Saccharomyces cerevisiae S288C: one gene and its partners. The gene in region 1 interacts genetically with each later gene. Each region holds a gene or a part of one and is shown on either strand. Other genes may lie near its edges.

The links.
Region 2: mutations in XRN1 (region 1) and SKI7 together harm fitness more than expected from each alone (negative genetic interaction), as found in Saccharomyces cerevisiae (6 studies listed by BioGRID, with this or other methods).
Region 3: mutations in XRN1 (region 1) and POM34 together harm fitness more than expected from each alone (negative genetic interaction), as found in Saccharomyces cerevisiae (4 studies listed by BioGRID, with this or other methods).

Annotation. Positions count from the first base shown.
Region 1 is NC_001139.9:173,906-182,070, forward strand, and holds XRN1 (chromatin-binding exonuclease XRN1), read right to left. Parts: upstream 6,209-8,165; coding exon 1,622-6,208; downstream 1-1,621. Other genes in the region: ssDNA endodeoxyribonuclease SAE2, read right to left, coding at 1-417; BUD13 (Bud13p), read left to right, coding at 640-1,440; FG-nucleoporin NUP49, read left to right, coding at 6,795-8,165. UniProt on the Saccharomyces cerevisiae protein: Multifunctional protein that exhibits several independent functions at different levels of the cellular processes. 5'-3' exonuclease component of the nonsense-mediated mRNA decay (NMD) which is a highly conserved mRNA degradation pathway, an RNA surveillance system whose role is to identify and rid cells of mRNA with premature termination codons and thus prevents accumulation of potentially harmful truncated proteins.
Region 2 is NC_001147.6:468,877-473,605, forward strand, and holds SKI7 (Ski7p), read right to left. Parts: upstream 2,745-4,729; coding exon 501-2,744; downstream 1-500. Other genes in the region: UFE1 (Ufe1p), read left to right, coding at 1-376; RTS2 (Rts2p), read left to right, coding at 3,023-3,721; BUD21 (Bud21p), read left to right, coding at 3,849-4,493; Mn(2+) transporter ATX2, read right to left, coding at 4,599-4,729.
Region 3 is NC_001144.5:178,207-181,563, reverse strand, and holds POM34 (Pom34p), read left to right. Parts: upstream 1-1,957; coding exon 1,958-2,857; downstream 2,858-3,357. Other genes in the region: PSR2 (putative phosphatase), read right to left, coding at 83-1,276; MEU1 (S-methyl-5-thioadenosine phosphorylase), read right to left, coding at 2,943-3,357. UniProt on the Saccharomyces cerevisiae protein: Functions as a component of the nuclear pore complex (NPC).

The DNA.
Region 1 (8,165 bases):
GAGGCCATTTAAAGGCGAACTAAACTCCGAAATTTTCCGTTTATGCCTATTAGGTGGCATAGTAACCAGCGGTAACTGCACAGTGTGTTTATTTTCATTACGATAGTGAACCTCTGCTGATTCTTTCTTTATGTCCTCATCAAACTGAGTAAGGATGAAATCTTCAGAATCTTGCTCACCTGGCCCCGCAGACGTCTGAGAGGATTGTTGAGGAGCATTTTTTTCGTGACATAGAATTTCAGCCAGTTTACTGTTAGGTTCTTCGAGAACACATTTATTCCGATTTTGCAGTGCTTGAACACGTTTCGCGATTAAGGTAGTCACGTCATACTGCACATTTAGTAGTTCATCGAGACTGAGCTCCTTGAGAATGGATAAGCTTGACTTTAGATACACATTTTCTTCACCAGTCACCATCTCACATACAAACACCTAATGGCTTACAGCATGGATGGAAATGCAGGTATGTGAACGATAACAATGTTTGCAAACGTAAACAAAAAAGGTATTAAAGCTTAAAAGCTTTTTTTTTGTAGAACGCGCTTAGAAAATGGCATAAAGAAAATGGCTATTTGACTTGATTTTGAAAGTTGTTCTCAAGACTCGAATGGTGGAAGATAACAACAGGACGTTTATTACATGGCATTGCATCAGTATTTATCAGAGACTTATGGGCCCACGAAACCCAAAAATAAGACGAAAAAGAAGAAGAAAGAGTCAAAATCAGACGCTAACTCAGACAAAACTTCTTTGATAGTAAAAGAACGGCTAAGTACACTGCAACAAGAACAGGAGAAGTCAGGAGTTGCTTCATTCAGCAAGTTTGACAAACAAAAAAGCAAGAATATATGGAAGAACCTGGAAACAAACGAGCTTTCCCATGCAATAACACATCCTTCCGCATCGTCAATTACTGGCAACGAAAGCAAGAACGATCTAAAGGAAATCAGGGCTCAAGAGCCACTTGTCACAGTAGCAGACAAATCGAAAACACGAAAAACCATATACAGAGACGCTCAAGGTCACAAGATTCAGGAAGATTCCAAGATAGACGATTCTAGTTTTAGTCGATCTAAATATGAAGATGAGAAAGCCGCGGAAAGAGAGCAATACCTGAAAAATTTGAATATGGGAGACGTGCAAAAGCTTGGAATAAATGTAGATGCACATGATAAGAAGAAAAATCAAACTGCCTCGAGTCTGACGATAGAAGACCCTGCAATAACATTTACACATGACAAAGAAAGAACTGTAAAAACATCTTTACTGGGCCGCAAGCTTTATGATAAGCCAGCACCTGAGAACAGGTTTGCCATTATGCCTGGGTCAAGATGGGACGGTGTCCACAGATCAAATGGCTTTGAAGAAAAATGGTTTGCTAAGCAAAATGAGATCAATGAGAAGAAAGTGCAAAGCTACACCCTACAGGAGGATTATTGAAAATGAGATAATATATAACTATGCGGAAAGCTTTGTGTAAAAAATACCCTTTGACAATCCCCATTTGTTATAAGCTTTTTCTTAACAAGATCAACGATTAAATACAAATACCCCTCTTTATATAGGTCTCAGATATACTATTAAAGTAACCTCGAATATACTTCGTTTTTAGTCGTATGTTCTAAGTAGATTCGTCTTTTTTATTATCACGGTCAGCAGCATTGCTTTGTGACTTTGGCGATTGACATTCAGTAGAGTTTGTGCCAGAAGAAGGTTTAATCTCGCCTTTCCTACTGTTCTTTGTTTCTCCCCCAATAGTTGAACCATTGCTGTGCTGTTTACCATTAATGAATTTTTTCAAATCTTGGCTTTCCTTTTCATTGACAACAATACGACTTCCTTGATCTGAAACATTTGTCATAGGAGGTGGAGGTGGGAAGGAAATCGGTTGTCCAAACCCATGTGGTGCTGGTGGCGGAATAGACATTCCATTCATATTAGGGTAAGGCATCTGGTGAGGGTGTAATGGGTGAAGACCATTAGGATGCGTCATAAAACCTGGGGGAATATTGTACGGCAAACCAACATCTGCAACATCATTCGCTCCAGGAATAGGACCCCCAACCACATTCATTGGGTGAGGTGGAGTTGGGATATTCAAATTACTGCCTATACCATCAGAATATTGATTTGCAACGGCATTGAAAATAGATCCAGCAACAGTTGGATTATCAAGCGGTGCTTTTTCAAAATTGGCCAAATCAACTTGCACGTTTTCACTGCTTTTCTGAGCTGGTCTTTTTAACAAAACTTTCTTTGCGGGTTTGGAATCTTTTTGCGATCCCATGCTCTTGTTGTCTACACTTTCAGAATTCTTTTCATTGGTATCCTTTTTGATAAAATTCAATAAATCATGTGCCCTTTCTTTTCTCAGTTTTTCTTCAGATTGTTGCTTTGAAGGAGTCTTGTGAGCAGTTTTGGTATTATTGTTCCTATTGTTAGATTGCTTTTTCTTTTCCAAAGCCTTTTTGGAAGCCTTGGAGTGATAAATGAACTGCCTGTTAGTAATATTCAATAAGAAAGAGGCATCAAGCCCTAAGCCTCTATTCGTGCGCAACCTGCCGCCAAAATTATTACCGGCCACGATTTCATGATCAAATAAGACCTGAATTGATAATGATGAACTGAGAGTAGTATAGCCAACAACTGTACCCTTTGAGAAAATTGGTACCTTACCAGAATCTTGGATATAAACAACACGGTCACCCAAATCGAACTTTTGACTACGTAAGAGTGCAAATGATGATCTTGGATTCAAAACAGCCTCACGAGGAACTTTGGCTAACTGTTTTCTTTCATGACCTTCGATGTTAGCTGCGTATTTCATGATATGATCTTCCACGGCAGCAATCGATGTCTTAGTTAAGGAGTCAGACTCCAAAGATACCGCGATAAACTTCGATGAGACATACTTTAGCCATTGTTTGATACCATCTAATAAATTCATGGCATCCTTAGTGGAAGTATCGGGGAAAAGATCTTCCAAAACTGGGATATCATTACCTACCTTGGACAACCTGAAAAAAAAATCTGGGAAAGTTTGTCTATACTCTTTCAGTAAATTTAGAGTTAAATTTGAGTATTCCCAGCCCCTAGGGTTCCTCCTCGCGTAACCTAAAACCTTTTGGTGTCTAGCTTCGAACTTAACCGGGATACCAACATTGATATGCTTCCCAGTAGCGTCAGTAATCATGAACTTGGAAGTAATCTTAGACAAAAACAAGGGGTGTAAGTGCATGTTCTTGGACACAATATAAGACGGATAATATTTAACGGCTTGATGATCCATTTGTAACCTTTCTTTGCCGATGGTGGGCTCACTATCCAAAAACTTCTTTTCTACAGTAATTTTTAGTCTGCGGTCACTGCTGTAACCGTCAATAGTAGTTTCACCACCATAGGCATAATCACCTAAGAAAATAACTTTTGAATTCAATGGAAATTCCTCTTCAATAGGAATGGGTCCTCTTTCTTTATATCTTTCATCCTCGTTGACAACAGATTCAACAACCAGTTGCAATGGATAGTAATCTGGGGTAGGGCTAAAGGTCTTAATATAACCACCATCAGAGTCTCTCACCAAACCAGTCACTGGAAAGACGGTAGCAATGGCTTCCATAGGTCCTATTTTAACAGCTTTCTGTTTAGCATACATCCTTAGCATTGAATTCTTCAAACTATTGAAAAGTTTTTTGTCCTGGGTTTCCGCAGGCTTCGTTATGAATCCGAACTTTTTCTTATCATTGGACTCCTGATATTCATAGATAGTCTTACCATCCGTTAAAGAGACCAATTTGGATTCTCTTAAATATGGCCATCTTGTATAAATCACTTTGTTTAAATGCCTCTTGGAAAAGTCCTCCAAAGTAACATTATTCGTTTTGTATATGTCAGTTATTTGTAAGACCATTGATTGTTGTTTAGAAGGTTGTTGGAAAACCATTGTCTCATTGTACTCCAGTGAACTAGTAAATGGTAAAGACAATAACGTGGGGAAACCCGCCAGCATTTCGGCACCGAGTTTAGCATTAGGTAATAAACCATACCGAATCTCGGAGCTGTCCAATGGGATGGTGATGTACTCTTTTTCGACACAATGATTGTGTTCAATATCAGAAAAAATGCCGCCCAACGGACTCTTATAAAGGTTATCAACTTGAGGATTAAAGGAATATATCAAGTCCTTGCCAAATTGATTTCTCGTTTTTTCTTCAGGTGATAACTTGCGCAAATAAGGTTGCATAGCCTCAATCAACCTTTTTTCATCTACAAACGATATCAAAACCACAGCTTCCCAATCAGCTGTCTTGCCGTTTTTATCAAGTTGAACCTCAGCGGGATAGAAATCGTGGATTGGCGACTGTTCATCGTACATTAATGGCCTAAAGGCGGGAGGTATCAGATTTTTGGACCTTTCCGGTAAAACTGCCATTAGTTGCTGGAATGGAGTAAATGGTTTGCTCAAATCAAATTCAATGTCTTGATCTAAACCCTTGGCTAAGTCGGAGATTCTTGGTGCATAATGGTGCGGATAGTACCACGACCAAGATGGACATCCTCTATAATAATAATATAGAACCCATTGTAAACCTTCAACGTAGTCTTTAGCAAGATCTCTCACTTTTTCTTCACTGTCTGTCGTAAATTTTAACTTGTCGTGATAATACTCATGCTTCCAACGTTCAAACCTTTCATTATAAATCGTTTTTTCAGTTTCCAATTCTTCTTTGTCCTCCACGATGATAGCATTTTGATATTTTTTTATTGTTTTCCTGATAGAATTAACACGATTTTGAAATTCTTCTTCTGTTTCATCAGGATTAATAGAATCAAGATCCATTTTTAGCGAATAACTACCTTTGGATTTGGAATGCGTTATAAAAAGACCCAAATCAAAAGCGAATTCTTTTAAAAATTCTAAATGATCTTTCATGTCTAAGTCCTTAGGTAACTCTAAAGTTGGAATTTCTTCATCTGGTAAATCAGGCGATAATTTTTCCTGTAATTGCTCCATCAACCATGGTTTTATACTTCCAATTAATTTCTTCTGTTGTTTTACCAGTAATTTTTTACCAACCCTCTGTCTTTTCCTTTCACCCTCCAAAGAAATATTCTCTAATTGCTTGTTGAACCACTCAACGTCTATATCATCCTTTTCGAAATTTAATAACTCAAATTGAGACAGATAATTTAACCAGACACCTAATCTCTTTAAATTTATTTTACCATGTTCATTAATGTAGCCATCAGTATGTAAAAGAGCTTCTTTGAACGTTTGTAACAAAACGGGAAATGCTCCTTTGTTAAGGTGCAAATCTGGCAAATTGGGCAAGAAATCATTACCAATGACGAACATGACAAGAATAAAATCATCCAAAATACGTTCAAAATTGTATTCAAATTGCATTTCATCGGCAATTTCTTTGAATTCCAACTCCATGTATTCTCTTAATAAAGAAAGATGTAATAAGTAGAAATTTTGATGTTCAAGCGATTTTTTTTCACTATTTCTTCTACCAAATGTCACTTCTTCTCTCAATAACGCAAAATGTGGCCCATGAGTAGACAAACCCAGCATAATCAAATCTGCGTCAAGACCGTAAATACAATGTCTCGTATTCTGGTTGAAATCCTTTTGGGATTTTAAATGCCTTATAAAGTTCATGATCTTGTGTTCACCTTCACCTGGAACTTCATGGCCAGAAAATATGATTTGCACTTCCCTCCATTTGGAATCGTTAGAAATCTTGTCGTGAATAAAATATTGTAAGTTTTTGGTCAATTTGGCCATAAACTCCGTACCTGGAGTAATAGAATTCGAATCAAATGGCTCACCCTTAGGAATCTCGTCACCATTCTCAATAGCCTTCTTCAAGGCTTTTTCTGCATCCATAGCGGTTCTGAATCTACGAGCTCTTTGTTGATTCATCTTGGCACGAGGGGCCACACCATCAATAGCCATGTAGAAAATCTTCTTGGGCTTGATTGTTTGAAAAAGGTGATCGATATACGTACAGATTTTTGCAAAAACCTCTTCTTCAGTTAATCGCTTGGTTACATCATCGTCGTTACCATGCGTACAATTATGTAAAATCGAATTCATATCCAGGTATAAGTTATCAAACTCAGGAATCTGTGTTCCCTCAATAAGCTGTAAAATCATGGGCCATCTTTCTGAGATGTACCTGAAAAATTTTGGAATACCCATACCGTACTGATATATATTTGTTGCTGCTGTTGTTACAAGTGTTGATTTTTTTTCTCCTTATAGTACACGAATCGTCCTAGGATTAGTCAATTGCTTATTGTGAACCCGATTATAAGTACGGAAGAAGACAGTATCCTTTAGAAAATAAACTATTAACAGGAACGGAAATAAAAGGCAGAGAGAAAATAATAAAAGAATCGGTTCGCTTGTGCGAACGCCAAACAGATTTTATAATAACGGAAGAGCTGCTGAAAAAAAAAGCAAGCTGCAACTGTTATATTTGCGTAGATAAACTTTACAACCGGTAATTGGAAGTCGTAAGTACTTAGTTTGACGTTTTCAGTACTCGTTAAACTACTCCTTAAATTGCTTTCTAACCTCTTCTTGTTTGTCTCTGTTGTTACTTGCTCTGCGGTGGCGAAAAGACGAGCAAAGGAGGTTGTATATATCACTCAACACGGAATGTATTACAGCTTTCTCAAATAAATGTAGTTGAAAAAGACCATTAATCGTGAGAATAGTTACTGATCAGGTGATGAGACGATAAAAACAGTAATTGAGAGGGTTTTCACGGGTAGTGGGCACAATGTTTGGATTAAATAAAGCATCTTCGACACCTGCAGGTGGGCTCTTTGGTCAGGCCAGCGGAGCTAGCACTGGAAACGCGAATACTGGGTTTTCGTTTGGTGGGACTCAAACTGGACAAAACACCGGCCCAAGTACAGGTGGACTATTTGGCGCTAAACCAGCCGGATCTACAGGAGGATTAGGTGCATCATTTGGTCAGCAGCAACAACAATCTCAGACAAATGCATTTGGAGGAAGCGCCACCACCGGAGGGGGCCTTTTCGGTAACAAACCTAACAATACGGCGAACACTGGGGGCGGGTTATTTGGCGCTAATTCGAACAGTAATTCTGGCAGTTTGTTTGGTTCCAACAATGCACAGACGAGTCGTGGTTTGTTTGGTAATAATAACACTAATAATATCAATAATAGTAGTAGTGGCATGAATAATGCAAGCGCTGGACTATTTGGCTCTAAACCTGCAGGAGGCACTTCTTTGTTCGGTAATACAAGCACCTCTTCGGCCCCTGCGCAGAACCAGGGCATGTTTGGTGCAAAACCAGCTGGTACATCTCTATTCGGCAATAATGCAGGTAATACGACCACTGGTGGAGGGTTATTTGGCTCCAAACCGACAGGAGCAACGTCTTTGTTTGGTTCATCAAATAACAACAACAATAACAATAATAGTAACAACATCATGAGTGCGTCAGGCGGGCTATTTGGTAATCAGCAGCAGCAACTGCAGCAACAACCACAAATGCAGTGCGCATTGCAAAATCTATCTCAGCTCCCTATTACCCCAATGACACGGATTTCCGAATTACCACCTCAAATACGTCAAGAAATTGAACAACTAGATCAATATATTCAAAAACAAGTGCAGATCTCGCACCATTTGAAGGCCGATACAATCGATCATGATGAATTGATAGATTCCATTCCTCGTGATGTTGCATACCTACTGAAGTCAGAATCTGCAACAAGTCAATATTTAAAGCAAGATTTGAAGAAAATATCCTCATTTAAATCGCTAATCGATGAGGACCTTCTAGACACGCAAACTTTTTCGGTGCTCTTACAGCAACTATTAACTCCGGGAAGCAAAATTTCTTCTAATGACTTAGACAAATTCTTTCAAAAGAAAATTCATCTCTACGAGAAGAAGTTAGAGGATTACTGCCGTATTCTCTCTGATATAGAAACTGCGGTAAATGGCATTGATACAGATTTATTTGGCGCCCCAAATAACCCTAATTCTACAGCTATCACAGCAGATCTAGGTTCATCCGAAGCAGAGAACCTACTGCAGTTGAAGACAGGCTTAGCTGCCATAGTCTCTACTGTCATTGAGGAATTCACACTGTTTATGGATATCGCTGAGAGAATC
Region 2 (4,729 bases), on another chromosome or scaffold:
AGAAACTGTACAAGACGAAGTAAAACATTATGAAGAGACGATATCCAAATTAACCCAGGAGCAACTACAAGTGTTGGAGACAGAACATTCGGAACTGCTAAATCAAAAAAATGAGCAATTGAAAAAAGTGGAGACTATAAACAAAACAATTTTAGACATTGTCAATATACAGAACGAATTGTCCAATCATTTAACGGTGCAATCTCAAAATATAAACCTAATGCTGAACAATCAAGATGACATTGAATTGAATATTAAGAAGGGAAATAAAGAATTACGTAAAGCGAAACGAGCTGCTGGAAGAACTGCTAAAATGACCACTTATGGTGCCATTATCATGGGTGTTTTTATATTGTTCCTAGATTATGTAGGTTAATATCACTTTCATAAGATATGTGTAAAATGGGTTAAAAAAATCAATCTATCATCAACTTATTACTATTCATTTTATATATTAAACAATAAGTATGAATGCCTAGTATAATTTCTTAGTTGTAGGATTACTGGCATGCAATTCTGCCAACTGCGATAACCTTATGATCTATTGATGTTAAAACAATATTGTTGGTAATGTATTTGGAATCAATCACATTAAGAGCAAAGTCTGGTTCTATAATTTCGACTTCGACAATAAGTGACTGATTTGGATTAATTGAGATGTCGTTAGTCCCGAGAATCTTCACCAATTTTACCGCGTTGTGCGTCAAATTATGGTAAAGAAGCAATTCAGAACCCAAGTCAACGGGATCACTTAGCGCGTGCGTTTGTATTGATAATTTTATTAAACGCAAGGCTAACAACTTTAGTGTGTTTGGTAAATTCGGTGATAGTGTATTCGTCTTTCTAGAGTGAATTATTATATCACCCTTACGAATGTGAAATTGCTTTTTCGTGAAGTCTTCGGTATTATGAATCTTAACAAGAACCTCTAAAATGTCAGGGTTCAAACCGACTGATATATTATTTTTTGTGTTAGTCTCCAGTATTTGTTTTGAATTCTTCATTCTTGAAACTATACCATAGTAATGAAAATCTTCATATTGTGTATGAATTTCAATTGTCTGGCCTGATTGAATATATCCGCTGTTGATCAAGACTTTGAGTGACACGTAATTTATCTCCGCTATCGGTTGAAGAACAGAAGATTGCAGTATTGTGCCTACAAATGGCTCTTCCAAAGTTGTTTCTATTTTGTTCATATTATGCTCTACCAATAGATATAGTTGCGAAAAAAATGTCGGACCTTCATACCATTCGGGAACATAATTTATAGAGTCAAATTCTGACTTATACTTAGATTTTGTGATGTTTTCAGTTTTATTCAAATTCGAACCTAATAAACCCGAACACGGGATAAATTGGAATTCTGCGTCTGTCCACTGAAAGTTTTCCTTCAACACATAATTTAGCTCAGACTGAATCATTTCTAGTCGGTGCTTATCCCAACTAATTAGATCTGCCTTATTCAAAAGAATTATCAAGTGCTTTTTGCATGCGGAATTCTTGTTCAAATAAGAGATCACTTTTAAAATTTCATAAATCTGATTATTTGGACCATCTAATGATTTTTCCCACGAGTCATAATTGCAATCAATAACCAATACATAAACTTCAGGATCAAAGGTCAAAATTGAGTTCAGAGTTTCTTTATTGAAGTATTTGATACTACCAGGAGTGTCTATAAGCGTCAAGGTTGATGATGGCGGTAGTAAATCATTTTCTACCTGAATAACTTTCTTAAACATGGAAAATCCATTTTCTCTTTCTGTTTTGGTATTGTCTAGAATGACCTTAAAACTATTTGAAGATGAAGGATCCAAATTACTGCTTTTTTTTTGTAGTTCCCTCATTGATGACATAGAAATTTCGTTTAGATCATATAAAAGATGACCAAGCAAAGTGGATTTGCCTGCGTTTGTATCACCGAGGAACAAACATGTCAAATTCAGAGGATGGGTGGCAATGAATGAATGAATATCAATCGACTCAGTAGGTGGTGTTTGAAGGTTAATTGGTTCCTTTTTTTCGGCCTTGGGCACAGATTTGATATTTAAGTTTTCTAATTTTTCATTGAAAGCATTAAGTTGGGCCGATTGTATTATATCATCAGGACTTGGTCTATTGAAATTCTCAATGGCTACTTTACGAGTTGTTTTCGGCAGGTTACAAGGCACAAAAATACCAAGGAGCTCATTGTTATGCTTTTTTAAGGACAGAAATGATGAATTCTGCGACGATAGCGGTATTGATGTACTCAACGAGTTTTTTTTATCTTTTATGATAAAGTTTGTGAACGCAAAATCGTCGGTTTGATTTATGCATGGATCGTTTTTCAAGAAACAGTAATGGTTCATTTCTTTAATAGCCTTCCATGACTCTTCTAAGTTGAGTTTATCATCAGGCGATTTCCTTTTGGTAGGGAGTTCGTTTTCTTTGCTGTCTAATGTCACTGATTTTCCTTGTTTCTCCAAATCACTATTTGACTTCTTTAAGGCAGACAACTTTAAACTCAATGAAACACTATGCTGGTTCGGGGTAAAGTCGCTTCTTTTTACCTTGTCTTTTGCAAGTAGCGTCTTCAGATCCTTCCTTTTTGTCTCAGCATTGTTATCTTTAGTTTCTCTATTCTTATGTAGTCTTTCTAGTAAGGATGCACTTTTCGATGTACTATGAGACTGGTCCGCACTTAAAAGGCCTTTAGATTTTTCTATTCTTTTTCTTGCTAATTGCTCTAATAACGACATGTCAGGTGGTACTGTAAGTTTCGAAGACCACCTCCTCGTACGTGTATTGTAGAAGGGTCTCTAGGTTTATACCTCCAATCTGTTATAGTACATATTATAGTACACCAATGTAAATCTGGTCCGGGTTACACAACACTTTGTCCTGTACTTTGAAAACTGGAAAAACTCCGCTAGTTGAAATTAATATCAAATGGAAAAGTCAGTATCATCATTCTTTTCTTGACAAGTCCTAAAAAGAGCGAAAACACAGGGTTGTTTGATTGTAGAAAATCACAGCGATGGCAGATTATGATAGTGCGAAATATTGGTCCAAGCAGGGAGCTCGTCGTGGGTTACAGAAAACCCGTTACTACTGCCAAATATGCCAAAGGCAATGTAAAGATGCAAACGGATTTCAATCACATAACAAATCGCCATCTCATTTAAGGAAGATTAGTCAAGTGACAGCTGAGGACGCTAGGCGCTACAATATCCAGTTTGAAAAGGGATTTCTACAGTTATTGAAGCAGCGGCACGGAGAAAAATGGATTGATGCTAACAAAGTATACAACGAGTATGTTCAAGATCGCGATCATGTACATATGAATGCCACCATGCATCGTTCTTTGACGCAGTTTGTCCGGTACCTAGGCCGCGCGGGCAAGGTAGACGTGGATATGGATATTGATGATACATCTGAGAACGTTGAAGGTCCTTTGCTTATCAGGATCCATCCCTCATCTTTATCATCACCTTCTGAAGATGGAATGCTGCGAAGTCAACAAGAGGAGCAAGAAGTCATAGCCGCCGAGCTTTTGAAAAGACAACTCAATCGTGCTAAGCGACAAACTGAAAAGGTATATCAACCAGAGATGAAATCGGAAATTAGCGGGGATAGCACTCTGAAACGTGTTCAAGTCACCTTCCACGGGAATGGTCGGGTAAATAAAAAGAAAAAGAAGGTTCCTCCACGGAAAGATGGTATCAAGTTCCGTTGATTGAAAATTTTTCTTTTCAAGCGATGAGGTTAGCGAAGTTGTTCGAACAAGCCCAAATATGTTTAGAAGGCAGTACGAATTGATACCCTGAACTGTTACTACCCGTATACACGTATTAAGTAAGACAATGAGTAATGGACACGTCAAGTTTGATGCCGATGAAAGTCAAGCCAGCGCAAGTGCTGTCACGGATAGACAAGATGATGTGCTGGTAATATCAAAAAAGGACAAGGAAGTGCATTCAAGTAGTGATGAGGAAAGTGATGATGATGATGCTCCACAAGAAGAAGGGCTTCACTCTGGGAAAAGTGAGGTAGAATCACAGATCACTCAGAGGGAGGAGGCTATAAGGCTGGAACAATCACAATTGCGGTCCAAGAGAAGGAAGCAAAATGAATTATACGCCAAGCAAAAGAAATCAGTGAATGAGACAGAGGTCACTGATGAAGTAATTGCGGAGCTTCCTGAGGAATTGCTAAAAAATATAGATCAGAAGGACGAAGGTAGTACGCAGTACTCATCTTCAAGACATGTAACTTTCGATAAATTGGATGAGTCAGATGAAAATGAAGAGGCATTGGCTAAAGCTATAAAAACTAAGAAAAGGAAGACATTAAAAAATTTAAGGAAAGATTCGGTGAAAAGAGGAAAATTTAGAGTTCAATTGTTATCCACCACACAAGATTCTAAAACATTACCACCAAAGAAAGAATCATCCATCATACGTTCAAAAGACCGTTGGCTAAATAGAAAGGCTTTGAATAAAGGGTAATATATAGCATACAACATAATAAAATAATAGTACAATCACAAAATTAATCATAATGTTCATTTATCTATAATCAAACAATGAGAATATATACTGAAGTTTGGTAGGTTATTCTTCAGAGATGCAGTACGATATCACCAACGGTATGCAGACACCTATCAAAACATAAACGGATTCATCATGAGGTAAAACGACTTCCTGTTCAACGCTGAGATCGTGATCATGAGAATCTCCACCAA
Region 3 (3,357 bases), on another chromosome or scaffold:
AAAGAGAAACATGAGTTCGTCCAAACATATAACCGAAGGGGGGGGTAATAAAAAGAGCCTGCTTTTTATGTTACTGAGAAATCTATATCGTCACATCCAACACGCTCCCCACATCCAACACGTTTCCTGATGAAAGGTCCTCCAAAAGTGGGATAATATCTAGTAACTCATTATCATGAGTATCAGAGAACCAAGAAGATATCGGAACAGCATGTTGCGGATGAAAGATGTAAGAGGCCGGCGAATTATCTAAGATGATTGTTTCGGACAATGGTCTTCCGATCTGCGATAAGTTCTTGATGTAGTTACCTTCGTAGTTATAACAAGCTTCTCTGAATAATCGATGATGGATGGTTCCATTAGGGTCCAACGTATCTAAAAGGGGGTTTGCATACCTCGAAACACTTGCCGTGAACACAACAACTTCGTATAGTTGACTCACCCTGTTCAAGAACTCATCGACGCCTGGCCTCTTAATAACATAGACATTGTGAACTTGATCATCGATTTCGACGGGCAAAACGAAATCAGCTGAATGCATATATTTAAAGGAAGAATGTACCAAAGTTTCGTCTAGATCCAATATCAGACATTTTTTCTGTTGAAATTCTTGCAACTTGGGTGGTAGCAGAGTGTCGTATCCGGGGGCATGGTACTGGTCTGGTTGCAAATGCGTCAGGTCAGAGAAGTCCTCCTCCGTTGTAGGTATCAAGTTTAAATCATTATCAGGACTGCTGGCGACATATTGTGGATTCATATCTTCTTGACCCACCTGATACAGACCCTGTTGTGGTGGCGCCTCGTCATTAATACTGGAATTTCTATCTGCGTCAACGTTATATTCATGAACGACATGGTCTTGCTTTTCTTTTGCTTCGTCATCTTCTTCTTCTTCTTCTCCGGCATTGTTAACCTCCGTCATTTCTACGTCTCCTTCATTATAATCTTCATATTCTTTCTCCTCATCGTACGAGTTGTTGGAGTGATCTCTTGATAAAGGTGCTAGTTTTCCATTGCCGCTATTCCCATTCTCCTGCATTGTCTTGGAACCCGCATTGCTGCCTGAATCGGAACTAGACAAAAGGATCTCCGGTGTGGAATATTGCATCTTGTCGCCGTTTGGAGTAGCCTTCTGCTTACGACCCTGAGTTTGAGCTTTGTTTGAACTGTGCTTACGGTTGCGGTTGCGGTTGTGATTAGTTTCTGGTGGTTGGCGTTGACGATGTGTTTTGGAAGTATCTGAAGAACAGCACAGTATATTTGCTATAAATCCCATCTGATGATGATCTGAAAAAGCTCCCTAAAACAGACAGAGAAGCACTCTTCACTCAGTTTTTATTGCCAAATAAGTGGAAAATTAAAACGAAAGAACTCAAAAGCAGCACTGCGCTCGAAGAAAGATATATCTTAGCTTAAATCCTCTCCAAAAGGGGAGAACGAAGAATATGTGTAAATTAAGCGATGCTTCGTGGGTTTCTTTTACGCGCTGCGAAAAAGATAATCAAATCTCTAAATTTTAGAAATATAAGCCAGTCGGTAGCCCCCACAAGTCAATTATATATGTCAAAGTTCGTGGCACTGTGGACTGCTTTCATAAAGCTTCTCTTTATCTGTTCCTTAGACTGTGAATACTGAGGTTTTCTAAAAAAAAGCAAAAAAAAAAAAAGAGGGTCCAAACCTATTAACTTCAGGGTTTAAGTATCTTTTTTGTAGGTTATAATGTTCTTTTTATAAACCTTTCTCAGGTTATAATAATATTTCTCAGGTCTAATTAGGGCTAAAGTCTAAAGAAAAATGAAAAAAAAAAAAAATGAAATTTGTGCTAATAGTAATAATGATAGAAATAATAACAATTAATAAGATGGTTATGATGAACAAAAAGATTTATATTATAAGAACTTGACAATATACAGACTTTTAATATATCCGCAGAGGCAAAAAAATAATAGAGGGAACTATGAAGATTCAGGCGGGCCAATTGGGCCTGGACGATAATGACGTGCCGGGACCATTGCCGGACACAGACAGCAAACCCTCATCACAATCACAAAATGACACACCAATGTTTAAATTGGGCAACTTTGAAAGTCCTGTGCTCAAGGAGCTATCACGGCGAACGGTAAACAAGGAAATGGAGACGCAGAGAATTATGACAAACGTAATTGCGTTTGCGTTCTGGAACCTGCTGGTGAAGTTCATCAAGTTCTTTTGGAACAACACTCATGTTGGGAGACAGTTTTGCAACCGGCTATCCAGAATCCATCTGTACATGTTGACATTTCACACGTTAAAGAAGGCTAACATCATATATCACACCACGTTCAGTTGGTTGAATGCAGAACTTCTTGACTACTTGTTCCACCTATTAATCTCGCTCAATATACTGTTTTCTCTTTGGAAGCTCTTATCCACCGTCAAAGTAAGTGATTTGAATCTCACTGACAGGCAAAAGAAGCTCCTGGGGGTAGACATGCAATCATCTGTCGATACTGGGTTGCAGCCACAACACCCCCACTACGTATCCACTTCTAAGATCAGCCAAATGGCACAGAACAAAACACATATTCCTCAAACAAATCTCAAAAATCATCCAGCATATCTCTTCAAAGGCTTAGAGACGCCTTTGAAAGCAAGACAAAGGGAAATGGCGGAGGAACAGACGAAACTACAATCTCAATCCTTACACACAAAGAATGTATTTGGCACACTGCAGAGGCATAGCGGTATCAGTAGCACATTAGTGAGCGCTAACAATGACAATAACTCGCCGCATACCCCTGTAACTAGGAAGGGCTACATTCCAAGTAGCAAATATGCATATATGATGAACTCACAGTCCCCAAGGGGGAAAATATAAAAACAGCAAAAAAACATTTAATACTTTCCATAGCTATATATGTTTTCTCTCCTATTTATATTTTACATATGATTAGCGGCAACCATTACCAATAGTTTGGAAATAAGTATCTTAGTCTTTCTAAGGTTTCCTTGGACATAGCCTCTGGTTTGGTAGAGATAGATTTCTTGATGGAACCGCGCAGCCCATCGCCAGTATGCATGAACTCTGGGATTTCCTTGGCCATTGAGACGATGATCTTAGAAGCTAAAATATTTGCATTGCGCCCATTATTCGTCAAATTACCAATAACGGTTTCTACGGTAACAGGTTCTGCCTCATCTCTCCATGCGTCGTAATCGGTAGACATACAAATCATCTGGTAAGGCAGCTCACACTCACGCGCCAATTTGGCTTCTGGAATAACACTCATGTTAATAACATGGCCACCAAACATTCTGTACATCTTGGATTCAGCGCGCGTGGAGAATTGTGGGCCTTCCATACACACAACGGTCATA